Linked DNA regions of Mytilus edulis. The main gene of each other region encodes a partner of the protein of the gene in region 2 in a complex. Links are inferred from orthologs where the notes say so. Each region holds a gene or a part of one and is shown on either strand. Other genes may lie near its edges.

Region 1 (7,396 bases), on a different chromosome or scaffold from region 2:
TGGATAAATCTCTATTTTTTTTCGTAAAAAGACTACGTCGTCGGCTACGGCCAGTGCAGAGGATGATGCACAGATCCTCGGACATGTTTCATCTGAAATTGAGCCTAGCGGAGCGATGGCTTCTACAACTAACTAACAACATAACTGACAACTAAACCACCATATCCTGATATCGTTTCCTGTGACATGAAAGACGACGTGAAAAAAAAAACTAATCTGTAATAGAGTGTGATCATTCTTAGGCTTATCAGTAAATTCAAGTTTCTATCTAGGTCCACATATTAATTTTATATTCAATAAAAGAACAAAGTTCCTATGTCCCCTGCATTGCACATATTTTATGTAACCAAGGAACAAGGGCAATAACTAATAAAAAATAATATTTTTCCTTTTCCTTTTATTTTTAATGGAGAAATAAAAGCTTCAGAGAAAATGCAATGGGAGTTCCGTATAATTTATATTTCAAAAGTTAAAAGCTTATGACTTATTTTCGAAATTGTCATTGCTGATGATATAAAAATCTGTCAAGAATTGTACACATGAGAGTGCAAACAAGACCGGATGGACGGACACCAGGTATTTCGATGATGTCCCCTACGACGCGTTAATGGGGTCACTTCAGTTCTTATATTCTTAAGTGCCGCTGTGATAAGGCCGTTTTTTAGAAATGCTAGGAAAGGGGATCACTTCAATTCCTTTATACAGAAGTGCCGCTGTGATTGGGCCGTTTATGAGAGATGTCAAATATAAGATTGGTGGGAAACTTTTACATCAAATAAATAAATTATGAATTACATTCAATTTCGAGAATTTCGAGAAAACATTAAAATTGTGTTTGAAATATAATTATATGAATTGGTGGGTATTTTGAAATAAAACAAAAATCTAACCAGTGTTAGATTCTAGGGGAGAACATGTGCTTACAGGAACAATGTCTGAAAAAAATATAATTTTCTGCATAAAATAGTCAAAATTTTTTTTTCGCCACGCTCCGCTCGCCGAAGGCATCCACATCATTTCAACCGTGGCTACGCCACTGGATATGTGCATGATGGAGTATTCAGTTTATACACAATATTTCAAGCTTGATGCATCTTTGGACTCACCAGATTTAAAAATATTTTTTTACTCATGGACTTGCCTTTGTTAGAACCTTATGCTATTTTATAATACATGTTCATTGTTGGTCATTGCATCAATTGGGTATAGATGTGCATTAGTTTCTCCATAGGCGGTAATGGTAACGTTTTCTTCTGTTTCTCAGTCCATATCGTTAACTTGGATATGTGTGATTGCTCGTTTCGAAGCTGAGACATTTTGACATATGTGGTTAAATTTTCGGGGTACGAAGTGAGATTACTTTTTCCGTAAATTAGCAAACCCCGAGTATCCTTTTGTGATGCGCCTCCTCATGGTAAATAATCCCATTTTAAACACAAAAAGTTCTTTGAAAATTTAATACTTTGAACACATTTAATAGCTCCATAGATTTTACACATTTATTCTGTGTTCCCCTACTTTATAAATTAACTCAAATGGTTAAGCTCAGTCACTTGTTTATCATAGAAAAGTGTCAAATATCACTACACAGAGAATTTTTGTTTACACATGACTTTTGAGTTCCTCATTTCAAAGCGCATTAGGGATGTTGTCCCAATTGCCACGTAAATGAAACTGCTGGTAACTCAGGTCCTCTACCAGTAGAGGTTGAACATGTACGTACATGTTATGGCTATTTGGAAATCTGGGCCAGTTGACCCAAGAATCTGCAACGCTGACGGTTGAACTAAATACATCATACAACAATCATTTTTCCATCATTGTCCATTGTGGCATCAGTTAGTTCTATTGTGACGTCAAAATTTTACGGGAACCTTTGACCTGTCCTACAGACATATAGGGACAAGGTGCATTGTACATTTTTTTTATTTTTATACTAAGAACTAATAGAAGAGATGAAAACAAATTTATGTAATTAATAAATTCTGTAAAGATAATTCTTTCCTCAATGGAATTTTTATTTTTTGAATACTTGATTTGCATAGGATTTTCCAATAAAATGCTGAAAATATGCTTTATACTAGTATTAATGCATAATGATTGTAAGAAACAAATTAATATTAATGTTAATATTTCATCAAATAAATTTAAGTCAGATATTCTTCATGTTCTTATGAATATCCTTCCATATTGAATACAAATTTTCTTAAGTCTGATGTAGACATTTTGTCAAAACTTTTAAACTACACAGGTGTCTAAAGGGGTCATTATGAATTTCTGGAGTAAAGGGGGTGGCAAAAAGGAGGAAAGGGCAAAGATGTTTGAAACTTATGTTTAATAAATCAAAGATCACTGGAATCTGAACATGTGTCTGACTATTGTGTTGTTGCATTTGCCATATGTTTAATTAGTCTGAGATTACACTGACGTCCAACAGCTGTTTTGCCAGACAAGCTGGGGTAGTTGGTCCCTCGGTCCCAGGTTGTCTTGGATGTGGGTCTCATTGGGGTCTAAGCTGACATGGGATTGCTGATTTTTTGTAAGCATGACACATGAAAGTCAAATTATTGTGGCGTGAAAACGTGAAATGAAGTCATGCAGGACAAGAGAAATTAAAAATAAAATAAGAATTGCTTACATACATAGTGTAAACGGGATACAGGAATCTGACAAAACAGTAAGCGGGATCTGGGATTAGAACCCCCAAATGAGAACCACTGGAACGTCAGAGTAATTTCGGCCTAACGTTTAATGTTCATAATGTTTCCCTTACCAGTGCAAAAGGGTTCACAACAGCAGTCTGAGTTTTCTCGGGACTTTCTTCCTCATCTATCTCGTCATCAACAGACAAAACTTCTAATTCTTGTCTACCATGAAGTTTGCGCAATGCCCTCGATGACATGTTAAAAATAAGGACAAATAGTTCAAATGTTTAGCGAGGAACTCTTATGTCAAGTTCCACATGTTCAATGTTTACAATTTGTTGAGACCGGAAGTTACACACTGCGGGATATTCAATGTATTGGCTTTAATATGTAAAATTGGAGACATCAGCCAATAATACAATAATACCAATTATATGCATTCTTACAAATGATCCAAACAATAAATTAATGTGAGTTCTGAATTTTTAAATGTAATTTCTTCAATATTCCGTGCGGATCTACAACATGGATGCGCCCATGTAAACTAAAACAGCGTAAAATGTCAACTCTTATTTCTCAGCAGGCTCTTAAATTGCTAGCCTTTTCTAGAATTCTGTGGCAGAGGAATTATATGAAGTCATGTGCATGTTTCCAGCAAGCTGTCAAGATTGAAGGCGCTTTGGCTAAGATGCTGAAGAAGTCACAAAAGTAGGCAGTAAAATATGACAACTCGTCCCATAGACAATTCGCCCCTCTTATGTTCACAATCATGAGGAGGGATAGGAGGGGTCCTAATCCCCAAACCCGGGCTTAAAAATCCGAAATCCCAGGCTTAAAAACACGAAATCACGAGGTCGCGAAATTGGAAAAAAGGAATTCCCAGATCCCGAAATCCCGAGCTTAAAAACACCCGATCCCGGAGTCCCGATAAAGGTCCTATCCCCCCTCAATCATACCCATTAAGTTTTTTTGCTTCTGGAGCTGAACATTTCTGAGTGACGGCTTTGGTTCCATAATATGAGGCAGGCATTACCTGTGAATGGGGACGAAGTCTGTATTATTTTTTTTAATTCAAACATGTTGATAAAAGAAACGGAAATACCGTAACGTTTCCAATATTGGTTCTGTTGTTAGGGATTTAGTTGTGACGTTATTTAAGTTATGACGTCATATTCAATGTAAACAAACAAACGCTGTTATCCAGGTAACGTCTTTTTCATATCAAACAATTATTAAAAATGATTGGGTGTTAAATTCCTTCCTATATTTGTTGATATGTTGATAAATATACATTTTATTCAAAGTCTCATTCAAACAAGACCGGAAACGGAAGTAGATCTGAAAAAAAAATCTATTTTGAGTTCATTAGTAGAATGAAAAATTCGGGAAATTTTCCCGATTTGTTTTTTGTTTTGTTTTTTATTGATTTTTCTACCGTAATTGGGGACTTCGTCCCCATAATATGAGGCAGGCATTACCTGTGAAAGGGGACGAAGTCTGTATGAATTATTTTGTGTAACTTCAAAATCTGTTAAAAAAGAAACGGAAAAAAGGTAATGTTTCTGATTTTGGTTCTGTTGGTAGGGATTTTACTTGTGACGTTATTTAAGTTATGACGTCATCTTCAATGTAAACAAAAAAAAAATGACCATCAGGTAACGTTTATACATAATTATCAGGGGCGGATCCAGCCATTTTAAAAATGGGGGGTTCCCAACCCAGGACAAACCCCCCCCCCCTTTTTTTCTGCATTCTGCGCAAATGAGTGAATTAATAAAAGTGACCAAAAAAAAATAACAATTTTTGAGTTCATTAGTTCAATGAAAATTCCCGATTTAAAAAAAAAAAATCTTGATTTTTCTACTGTAATCAGTCAGAGCTCAGACATAAACAAGTCGATTTTTGTTTTTGACTTACAGAAGTCTTATCTAAGTCAGAAAATGACAGACTTGTTTAGGTCTATTTATGTTGATGAAAAAACTTAATTTGACTTGGTGGCCAAAGTACACCTCCTATGACAGCAAAAACCTATCTGAGAGTTCACAAGGACTTGACCTATCTATATTTAATTACCTAATTGAACATCCTTACTAAACACAGATGTTTTATCTCATTAAGTGTGGCTCCAGGTGGTTGCATTGTAAGGTTAATTAACATTATCTCCAATTTTTTAGACATTCATATTTTTCTCTAGAAGACAAAGCATTGTTTTTCAATGTTGTCATTATTTGATTTAGATGCGTGACCTTTTTATTAATATGCGTGGGTCTTGAAGTTTACAAATGTTGGTTACTTATCGACTTGTAGGAGTCGATATTTGCAACTTTTGGATTCTGGTCAATTATTTCTTGCTTAACAATATTTGACTTATTAAAGTCGTATTTTGTCTTGCATTAAAGGGAGACAAATCCTAAAACTTAAAATTTAGACCTCTATGAGTCAAAAGCAGATTCAGACCTATTTATGTCTGAGCTCTGACTGGTAATAGGAGACTTCGTCCCCTTATAAATCTGACCTCAATTTGTTCATTTTTCATTCAACCTATTTATGCCTGCCACCCTTTCTTTTCTCATATTTGAACAGTTTTCACATTGACCCATTGGTTCCTGCATCTTAACATTCACTTTGAAGGATTGTCACATGACAAACGAGAAAAAGTAACATAAGAAATGCGCAATGTATTATGCCAGCAGAATTCTTTTATGCATTTTGATTTGCTGTTGTTTTACCCCCAAAATTTGATATCACCCTACAGCTAAGGTCTTCGATGGACTAAAGCAATAGCTTGGTCAATTGTGTATGTATATATTATTAAAACTTTATGACTTGAATGATCTTACAAATGTCGCTTAATTTTTTATAATGTGTATCTAATACTGTAGTATGTAATTTCACATGTTTCATCATGAAAATTACAAAATTACAAAAAAAAAAGATTATCATCCAGCAAATAATTCTATTGAAACTCATGTCAAGGGCCATATTAGTCTTGCAGTAAGATGTGAGCTTAAAAAAATTTGCTACATGTTAAAAGCCTCACACTGATTTTTAGATAAGAAGATTACTGAATAACCTTGGCTTTTGGTTTTGTAAAGTTTTAATAAAAGTTCATTATTATGCACATCAAGTTCATGTGAAATTTTATTTTTTAAGTGCCACATACAATTGTAATGTATAGGAGAATCACTTTTGTATGTAAGTTTAAGTTAAGCATGATTAAGCTATTTAAGCTCTGGACAGTTATAGTTTCACATAGCCTTGCTTATAATTGTCAACAAGTGACATTGTTTATGCATTTATTATGTTTCTCATATATTTTCTTTTCAGAAGGAGTAAAAACTCATCAGGATGGAACGTTTCACCCAAGGTTAGCATTTGTTAACAGTGTTTGTGTTTTTACATTGTGATAATGTCAATTAAATATATACTAATTGTGAAATTATCATAATTTATCAAAATGATCATGAAATAATTTGTCAACTGTGAAATATGCTTTAGTACAAATGTATTTTTAGAACAATAACTATACACGTATATTAGTGTTTTCTTTCTCCTGTGTTTACAATGTCATTATTTTAATTTTCTGATTTTGTCCATATTAGAATGTCTTGTTTACATTGGTTACAAAAAGTAGTTCTGTCAACATTGTATAAAAAAAAAATAAAGAGCCTTATACAAATGTAGATAGCTCTCACAACCAATCATTTTAACATATTACCTAATATGCAAATCATATAAGGATTATATATACCTACTCTCACTGGATTTGTTGTACTTGAAATCAATGTTTTAACAATTATAGAGAATAAGTAAATTAAAAAGTAAATTTTCTATTTTAAAATTATATAGCAGATAATTCTAGACTTAGAAACTACTAGAACCCGACCAGGCAGTAAATATAGGGCCCCTAGTGACAGAGTACAGAGACGAGCCCATGATGTCAGTATTGTGTTGTATAACTATGTAAGGGAGATAATTAACAGTGGAGAACTTGACCAACAAATTGCTGATTCAATGGTAGAAATAACACAGGTATTAATTTTTGCTAAACTAGTTTGTCTAACTTGCAAAGAAATTAACAGCTATTGGTTTAAACAATATTTTATTCAAATAAATTGAATTGGATTGGGCAACAGGCATAGCCTATGTAAGCCCTCTGACAGCTATTATAGGTTGATGTATTGCCTTCAACAATGAGTAAAGCCCATACCGCATAGTCAGCTATACAAGGCCCAGAAAGAGTCAATTGAAACCTAGCCTAAATATTATAAATAATTTTTCATGTTTTACAATATACTACAAATTTCCATAAAGTTACGTTATTTTTAAAAGGTATAAATATTGCTTTGAACACAAATTTGATACTATGTTGCAAATTTTTCATGTAAAGTACATCTTCAATATGAATGAATGAATTTTTATCTGAAAGGTGATTTATATATAAAGTTTTACTTAATACAATATAATATGTGTATCTATCAAGATTCTCGTAACTTGCTTTACATTACATTTTTTTTTTCTTGAACATTTTCAATACTTGATTGTAAATAATAAATTATTTTTTGTCAAGGTTAAAATGCTGCCTGATTTCTCTGCCATTCATGTGCTATGGTTACCTTTTGGTAATGAGGAAGATATGGAACTAGATACTCTGCTGCAAAGAAAAGAAAGTAAATTAAGGTAAACTATTCATATTTGTTAATTTGTACACAATTTACTGTTTTAATACTTTGTAAAAGGGCTGATGCAAA
Region 2 (7,306 bases):
TATGAAAACTGTTGTTTCTTATTTGTGTTTGTAACTATGTATACTTGTTGTTTATTATATTTGTAAAAATAATATTATAATGATAATATATTATGCTCCTTGTGAGCCCATTTGATGGAAATAAAGCATCTCCTTCTTCTTCTATAGTGCCGAAATACTTTGTCATATTTTTATAAGAATAAAAGTAACTGTTATAAATGATCATTGGAATAATAGTTCACAATTACTTTTATAATTGATAACTGCATTATTAGTTCACAATTACTTTTAGAATTGATCATTGGAAAATTTGTTGATTAATTGATTGATTGATTGCTGTTAAACACCACTTTCAGTACCATAATGCTATTTTTTTTGGCAGTCAGTTTTTATTGGTGGAGGAAATCAGAGTGCTCGGAAAAAAACACCAATCTTCATTAGGAAAACTGACAATCCTAGTTAATAACATAAAAGATTTGAGAACAACTGAAATGCATATACAGGTATTCCAATTCACAACCTTAGTGTTAACAGCCCAAGGGCTCATTTTTTTTATAATGAAAGGTCCAGAACCATTTGAAATTTCAAGTGAAAGGTCCTCCATAATAAATCAATGGTAGTGTATAAAGCATCTAAAAAAGAATGGTAGGTACCTTGACTTTTGTTAATTTAAAAATAAAAAGGCCTCTTCTAGAAAAGACAGGACCTACATGTAGACCTTGGACCCATACTAGTTTGAAACCTTGCAGCCTAGTGATACAGTAGTTCAACTATTTAGACCACTAGGCCCCTTACTATGAAGTATGATCATTGGAAAGTTAGTCCACAGATATATGAAACTGTTTTTACATAGGCATTCACGATCAATGACATTAAACTTATAAAATTCTGAAATGTATACTACTGTTGTACCTAAACCGGTTTCAGAATGATAATGGTACCATTTATTCAAAATACTTGCATATGAAGAAATGGCATTTTTTGTCGTTTCTTTTAAAGATTAATTTATTAAAACTTATATTATTTAATTTGACCACAGAACACTGTTTTACATTTGATGTAGTGTTAGTCTTGAATGTTTTTTTTTTACTTTCGGTTCATTTACATGTTCCAGATTTAGTGACAACCATTTTTGATGAACTACTACACATTTGTAAATAAGCAAGCTGAAGCACACCTATGGGTGCTGGATTTTCTGGCTTTGGCCTTGGGCTTTTCTTTGGTCAGAATGTTGCCTTTTTGACACATTCCTGTTTCCATTCTCAATTTAATTGGTTTACAATTGTTTCCATTTAAAAGTTGTTCACTTAAACGAAATTTTATCGATCATAACATTTTCTCATTAGTGTTGTTTTTATTATACTAACCTCTGTAACTTAAGTAGGTATGTCTTGCTATCTATATCATACACATTGTTAACACGCATCCCACAATATCTACAATAAAAACAGTTACTCTGTCAACTATATCATACACATTGTTAACTCGCATCCAACAATATCTACAATAAAAACAGTTACCCTGTCATCTATATCATACACATTGTTAACTCGCATCCCACAATATCTACAATAAAAGCAGTCACCCTGTCATCTAAATCATACACATAATTTTGTTAACTTGCATCCCAAAAATTATACTATATACATTTTGTACATGTCTCTAACAGATAAATGACATCTGCTATTTTAGTATTTTTAATTTTGATGTATGCCTTTTTGTGCTTCTTCGTTACATTTGTTGTTTTTATAGTGATTAAGATGATAACAATGTTGACTGCTGTACCCCTATTTTTGACATTTTTACCTATTGTGTCTGTTTGTTTTGTTCAGGCATCGGTGACAATGTAAGGGAATTTGGTGTGACTGTCATACAAGTGAGAGGTTTGGCTAGCTATAAAACCAGGTTCAATCCACCATTTTCTACATAAGAAAATGCCTGTACCAAGTCAGGAATATGACAGTTGTTATCCATTCGTTTAATATGTTTGAACTTTTGATTTTGCCATTTGATTAGGGACTATCCTTTTTGAATAGGGCTCTTCACGGTTAGTTCGGCCATATTGGATAGGGGGCAGATTTTTTGGAAGGAGGTGGAAATGGTATGAAAGTGTGGGAAATCCTATGTGTGTTTCCAAGCAACAGCTCTGTTTTAATGATGTTTTCCCGTATTTTTCACACCATTTTTACCTCTATTATGAAAATCTGCCCCCTATCCAATATGGCCGAACTAACCGTGAAGAGCCCTATTTTCCTAGGGAGTTCAGACTTCAGTATTTTTGTGATTTTACTTTCTGCTATATATATTGTCTTTAGTAAAAATGAAGACATTTGAATACATTTTAGTGTATTCAATATACATGAATACAATACTATTTATAAATTTTGGGAATTGTGATTCATACATACTTTCAATACGCAATAAATTCTGATAATGAAAAGTGATTATCAAAATAAGTAAAATTTATTTACCAAATTATGACAAATCTGATATCTTACTTTCTTATTTCCTTAATGACAACGGCAATATCTATTGTACTAAATCGAGTCTTCATTTTTTCTAACTGTTGGAAACTCAAATATCAAACAAAAGTTAATTCAATCAGTAAATCTGGGAAAGTTTCTTTCAATACATTACACTAAACTGGTCCGCCGTTCCATCTATAGCTTTGCACCGAAGGAACGGGTTGGTGCCATTGTCACATTGGCATTAATTGGACGAGTTTTACAAATTCAACGATTCGCTAATAAAATTGACCAATTATAGTGATAGGAAATTGACCTCAAATGTTAATACCGTGTGATGCCGCAAATAAATAAGTATCTGTTAATTAACCCCATGGTGGTAGCGCAGATAAATGACCAACGAGCGTGTTAACATGTTCTTGACAAACTGAGCCGGTATCTTTTATTCCCTTAAGAACTCAGTAGGGTTATAAATACTAGTCTCGTCGGATTATCAAATCCCGTGGTCAGAATTCTGACCACGGGATTTAGGCCATACCTGTTGTCAGTGTAGCGATAAGTGAACACAACAGGGGTCCAGTTTATACATTACACATCCGTTTCGTAATGACGTGATCTATCCAAATGAAAGAAAAAACCCGAGAACTGAAATCTTCTGGATAGGAGATACGTTTTTCACGTATTTCGCGCCAAATTTTCTAAGTGGAAACTGGGATTACTGGGATTACTCTAACTTGACATTTAAATGCCCAATACTGCCAATTATTACTGTACCATTTATATAACGAATTTAGAGAACAAATACACAATGCAAAATTCCTTTGTACTAGTAAAAACAAGTTACACTTTGTATGTTTATTTTATATGTCAATACAGAGGAATTCATTTTTTGGAGAGATATTTAGGAATATACAGCTCAAAATCATCAGAAAAAGATAGGTAGATATTTGATTTTAATTAGTTAACTGAAAACAATATTTAGAAAAGATAATATCTCAACCAAAACGAATTTTTATGCCCCACCCAGTGGCGGATCCAAAGGGGGGGTTGGAACCCCCCTTTTTTTGGCCGATCATTGCATTTGAAAGGGAGCATATAATATAAAATGAGAAAACAAAATAAACTGGTGGTCATTGTTTCAATGTGAAAATACAGTTTTTCATTTTATAAATATATTGCCAATTTAGTAATTTTAACAAAAAACATTGTTACAATTGTATATGTCTTTAATTATTAGGTACGCATAGATGGCATAGATGGATAAAATAGAGGATTTGTGTGCCTAATAGGACGAGACAATGAAAAAAAGCAGAGCTATTTATATGTTACTATGCTTTACCATTATCAATGCTATAGTATGTATGGTTTTGTACCATATGTTAGATGTTAGACCAAGAAAACAGATAACACAGGCTGTCAAATGGATGTATAAGGTACTGCATGTTTCTTTTAACAAATTATTATTGTATTATCATGAAATAAGCATTGACTATTTAATCAGACATATTGTAGTAGCTTGGATATTTAAATGCTTAAAAGAACAAACTTTTACACATGAACAAAGAGGATCAAAGAATATGTGCAGCAGCTTAACTTGCATGAATTAAAGTTCTTAATCTTCTAATATAAAAAGTATGACAATTGACTATTATTGTCTACTGTATTTTCTTAATAGATTTCAAACAGAAATATCTGATAAACATTGTAGATAAAAAAAATCTTGTACAAAGCTATATGCTACAATGGTCTGACATTGGTAATTTAACAGTCGAGGATACATTGTACAATGTATGTTACAATATATAAGAAGATGTGGTATAAATGCCAATGAGGCAACTCTCTATCCAAGTTACAATTTGTAAAGGTAAACCATTATACAGGGTAGGTCAAAGTACAGTCTTCAACACAGAGCCGTGGCTCACACTAAACAGCAAGCTATAAAGGGCCTTTAAATGACTAGTGTAGATTCAAGCAAATGGAAAACCAACAGTTTAATCTATATAAAAAAAAAGAAACACTTATGAACCACATAAACAAACAATGGTGGTCACCAGTAAATTTTGAATTCATTAGATTAGTCAGGCCATCACATCATGTTGATGCAATATAATGGTTCCTGCCTGGCTTACATTTCTCCTGTTTATATTAAATGTTTTTTGTTATGATTTAAGGAATATATCAGTAATGACCATCAATGTTTTACTGAACCTAACAGTGGTATTATTGAAGTTCCAGTCAAAAATATGAATGAAAAGTACTACAGGAACCATTTGATGTGTTCAGTTAATGAACAATCTGAGTGGGAAGCAGACATCATTGTAAGTAAGCTTTTACTAGATTTCGTAGTATCTTGTATAAGATATTTTCAATTCATAAAACCTAGTTTCATTATATATGGCTTGTGGAATTGTATAAGTATGTGTAAATTAAAAATGTTGAATACTTAATACTAAATGCATATATTATTCTTTGTCTTAACCATTCATTCACGAAATATGGTTATTCATGACTGGCTATGCCATGGCAAAGAAAGGAAACGTCAAAAGATAAATAATAATTTACAAAACACAACAAAGAAAACTTGAGACAGCGCAACAAATCCCACCAAAAACTGGAGAGTAATCAAAGGTGCTTCTGAAGGGTAAAGCAGATCCTGCTCCACATGTGGCACCTGTCTATTAGCTCATATAAGTACTTACCTGGTGATATGTCTAATTTGGTAGATCACATTTTCAGAAAAGAGGTGGTTACGACAATTTGAACATCTGTAGTCATCTGTGAAACAGATATTCTTTGAGGGTCTATTAACTTGTGATGGTATTCATAAAAATTTTGAAGGGATAATACTGAATACAACAAATATGGTCAGAAATACAAGTTTCTTTTTTTGCCACTTGAGAATTTCATGAATTTCAAGCTTTGCTTCCATGGTCATAGAGTAGAAGGTCAACTTTATTTGGTCTATAGAATTGAAGTAAAATGTACATGTCCTGTTATCAAGAATCTTCTGACCTTTATCTCATTTTCATGGTTTATTTATCAGTATTCAGTTTTCTTGATACATATAATGCAACCTTAATTTTTGGTAGGTCCACATAGTTTTGGTAAAAATTAACTTAACAGGCAATACATATTTTAAGTGTTATAGGTTGTTGACATGCTGGTCCTTTTCAATAAAAAAAAAACAATAAATAAAAAAATTAATGTTTCTACCAGGATCTTTCAAAGGGATTAAAACTTTGGAAAAAAAATTGAAGCAATATTTTAGGCTAATAAATTGTACTGCTAGAAGCCTGTTTGTATATTGATTTTTATTACAGATTGAAAAGGAAATTGATAAGTGGAGAATATCCTACCCAAAATATGTTTACCCAGTCAGTGGATATCTACAACTTATAACTGTGGATAAATGGAATATCAAAAAGTTAAAGGTCATCATTATGCCTCATTCTCATATGGATCCAGGTAATGCTGAATCTTAATTTTCTGCATACAATCTCTATTCTAATGCAACAACGTTTGTAACATGCATTTTGATTGAATAACTTCACTAATTTTCATGGCATCAATTGAAAATTGATACATGTTTTAAAGTTCTTTTCTGTCAGTTTCATTAGAATGGAGATTATGATATTGTATCTTAAGCTCCAACGCCATTAATTGATGATTTAATGTCTAAAAATTGTTTACCGTCTCCGTTAACATGTCGCCAGTAAACTTAGTTTACGACCATCAAATCACCAATTGATGCCTTCTGAGCTTAAAATACAATACAGTTATCTCCTAAAAACTGGGGAAACTGTAAAGTTCAATTGAACCAAACTTTAGAAGCCTATTGTTAAAAGCATAGAAGAAAAGAAAAGTGTTTAACCATTGATTCCATATGGGTCAGGATCCCTAATAGACCTTGAGATGAGGAACTCAGATGACGTAATTAAAAAAAATATTAGTCCGCCATACAATTGTGGATGCTGTGATTTTAAAAATGGACATAAATGAACAATAAGAACTGTTTTATAGAGCTGGTGTGATGAGAAAAGAAAGATGTAGATTTGACCTGAAATAAATTATTAGAAAGGACAATTTTTTTATTGAATTTTATCATCAGAATTTTGGGATTATTTCATGAGGAGAGTGACATTTTTCACCATCTTCCGGGGTCCATCAATTTGCGAAAAAAGTAATCTCACTTGCCACCCCGAAAATTTAACCAGACATGTATAAATGTATCAGCTTCGATATGAGCCATCATACATGTTCAAGTAAACGATATGGACTGAGCAACGGAGGAAAACGTTACCATTACCGCCTATGGAGAATTAATTGTAAATGTATACCCATATGGCTTTGCATCAAGTCTTCAGAATCAAATATGCTGTTTACCGTAGATACTCTCCTATTAGTCGATCCGATTTCAGCTCCAAATTCTGAGGATTTAGTCCTGACCCTCGTATAAGTCGGACAAAATTTGGACATTTTTTTTGCAGCTGACAGTTACTGAACGCTGGTAAAACGAATGCAAATCCAGGAATTATATTCATTTTCTGCATGAATGTTTGTTTGGTTTGAATTTAGTTGATGTTGATTATGATAATTTATATAGCTGTTAATAATAAAGATGTATTTATTCCTGTTGTTTTGACCATTCAACCATTTTAACTGTTTATAGTGGTCAGTCTGTCTGTCCGTCCGTCCGTAACACTTTAACTTTGTGTCCGCTCCATATCTAGAGAACCATTATGATTTCATACTTTATACTTTACATGTTTATTAACCACCACCAGAGGGCATGTCATGATGTATGTACAACTTCCTAGGTCAAAGGTCAAGGTAAAAAAACCTTTGGTTTCAGTTGACAACCC

The links.
Region 1: ribosome quality control complex subunit NEMF-like (region 2) and ribosome quality control complex subunit TCF25-like share a complex: the UniProt entries of both Homo sapiens proteins name them as parts of the ribosome quality control complex. The link is inferred for Mytilus edulis from reciprocal best matches to the Homo sapiens genes NEMF and TCF25.

Annotation. Positions count from the first base shown.
Region 1 is NC_092348.1:25,174,782-25,182,177, forward strand, and holds the start of ribosome quality control complex subunit TCF25-like, read right to left. Parts: upstream 3,008-7,396; 5' UTR 2,903-3,007; coding exon 2,774-2,902; intron 1-2,773. Other genes in the region: uncharacterized protein, read left to right, coding at 3,175-3,353, 5,973-6,012, 6,495-6,677, 7,216-7,325. UniProt on the Homo sapiens protein: Component of the ribosome quality control complex (RQC), a ribosome-associated complex that mediates ubiquitination and extraction of incompletely synthesized nascent chains for proteasomal degradation.
Region 2 is NC_092346.1:80,639,027-80,646,332, forward strand, and holds the start of ribosome quality control complex subunit NEMF-like, read right to left. Parts: upstream 3,076-7,306; 5' UTR 3,028-3,075; intron 2,608-3,027; 5' UTR 2,534-2,607; coding exon 2,478-2,533; intron 1,416-2,477; coding exon 1,347-1,415; intron 1-1,346. Other genes in the region: alpha-mannosidase 2-like, read left to right, coding at 3,743-3,877, 4,616-4,762, 5,765-5,909. UniProt on the Homo sapiens protein: Key component of the ribosome quality control complex (RQC), a ribosome-associated complex that mediates the extraction of incompletely synthesized nascent chains from stalled ribosomes as well as their ubiquitin-mediated proteasomal degradation.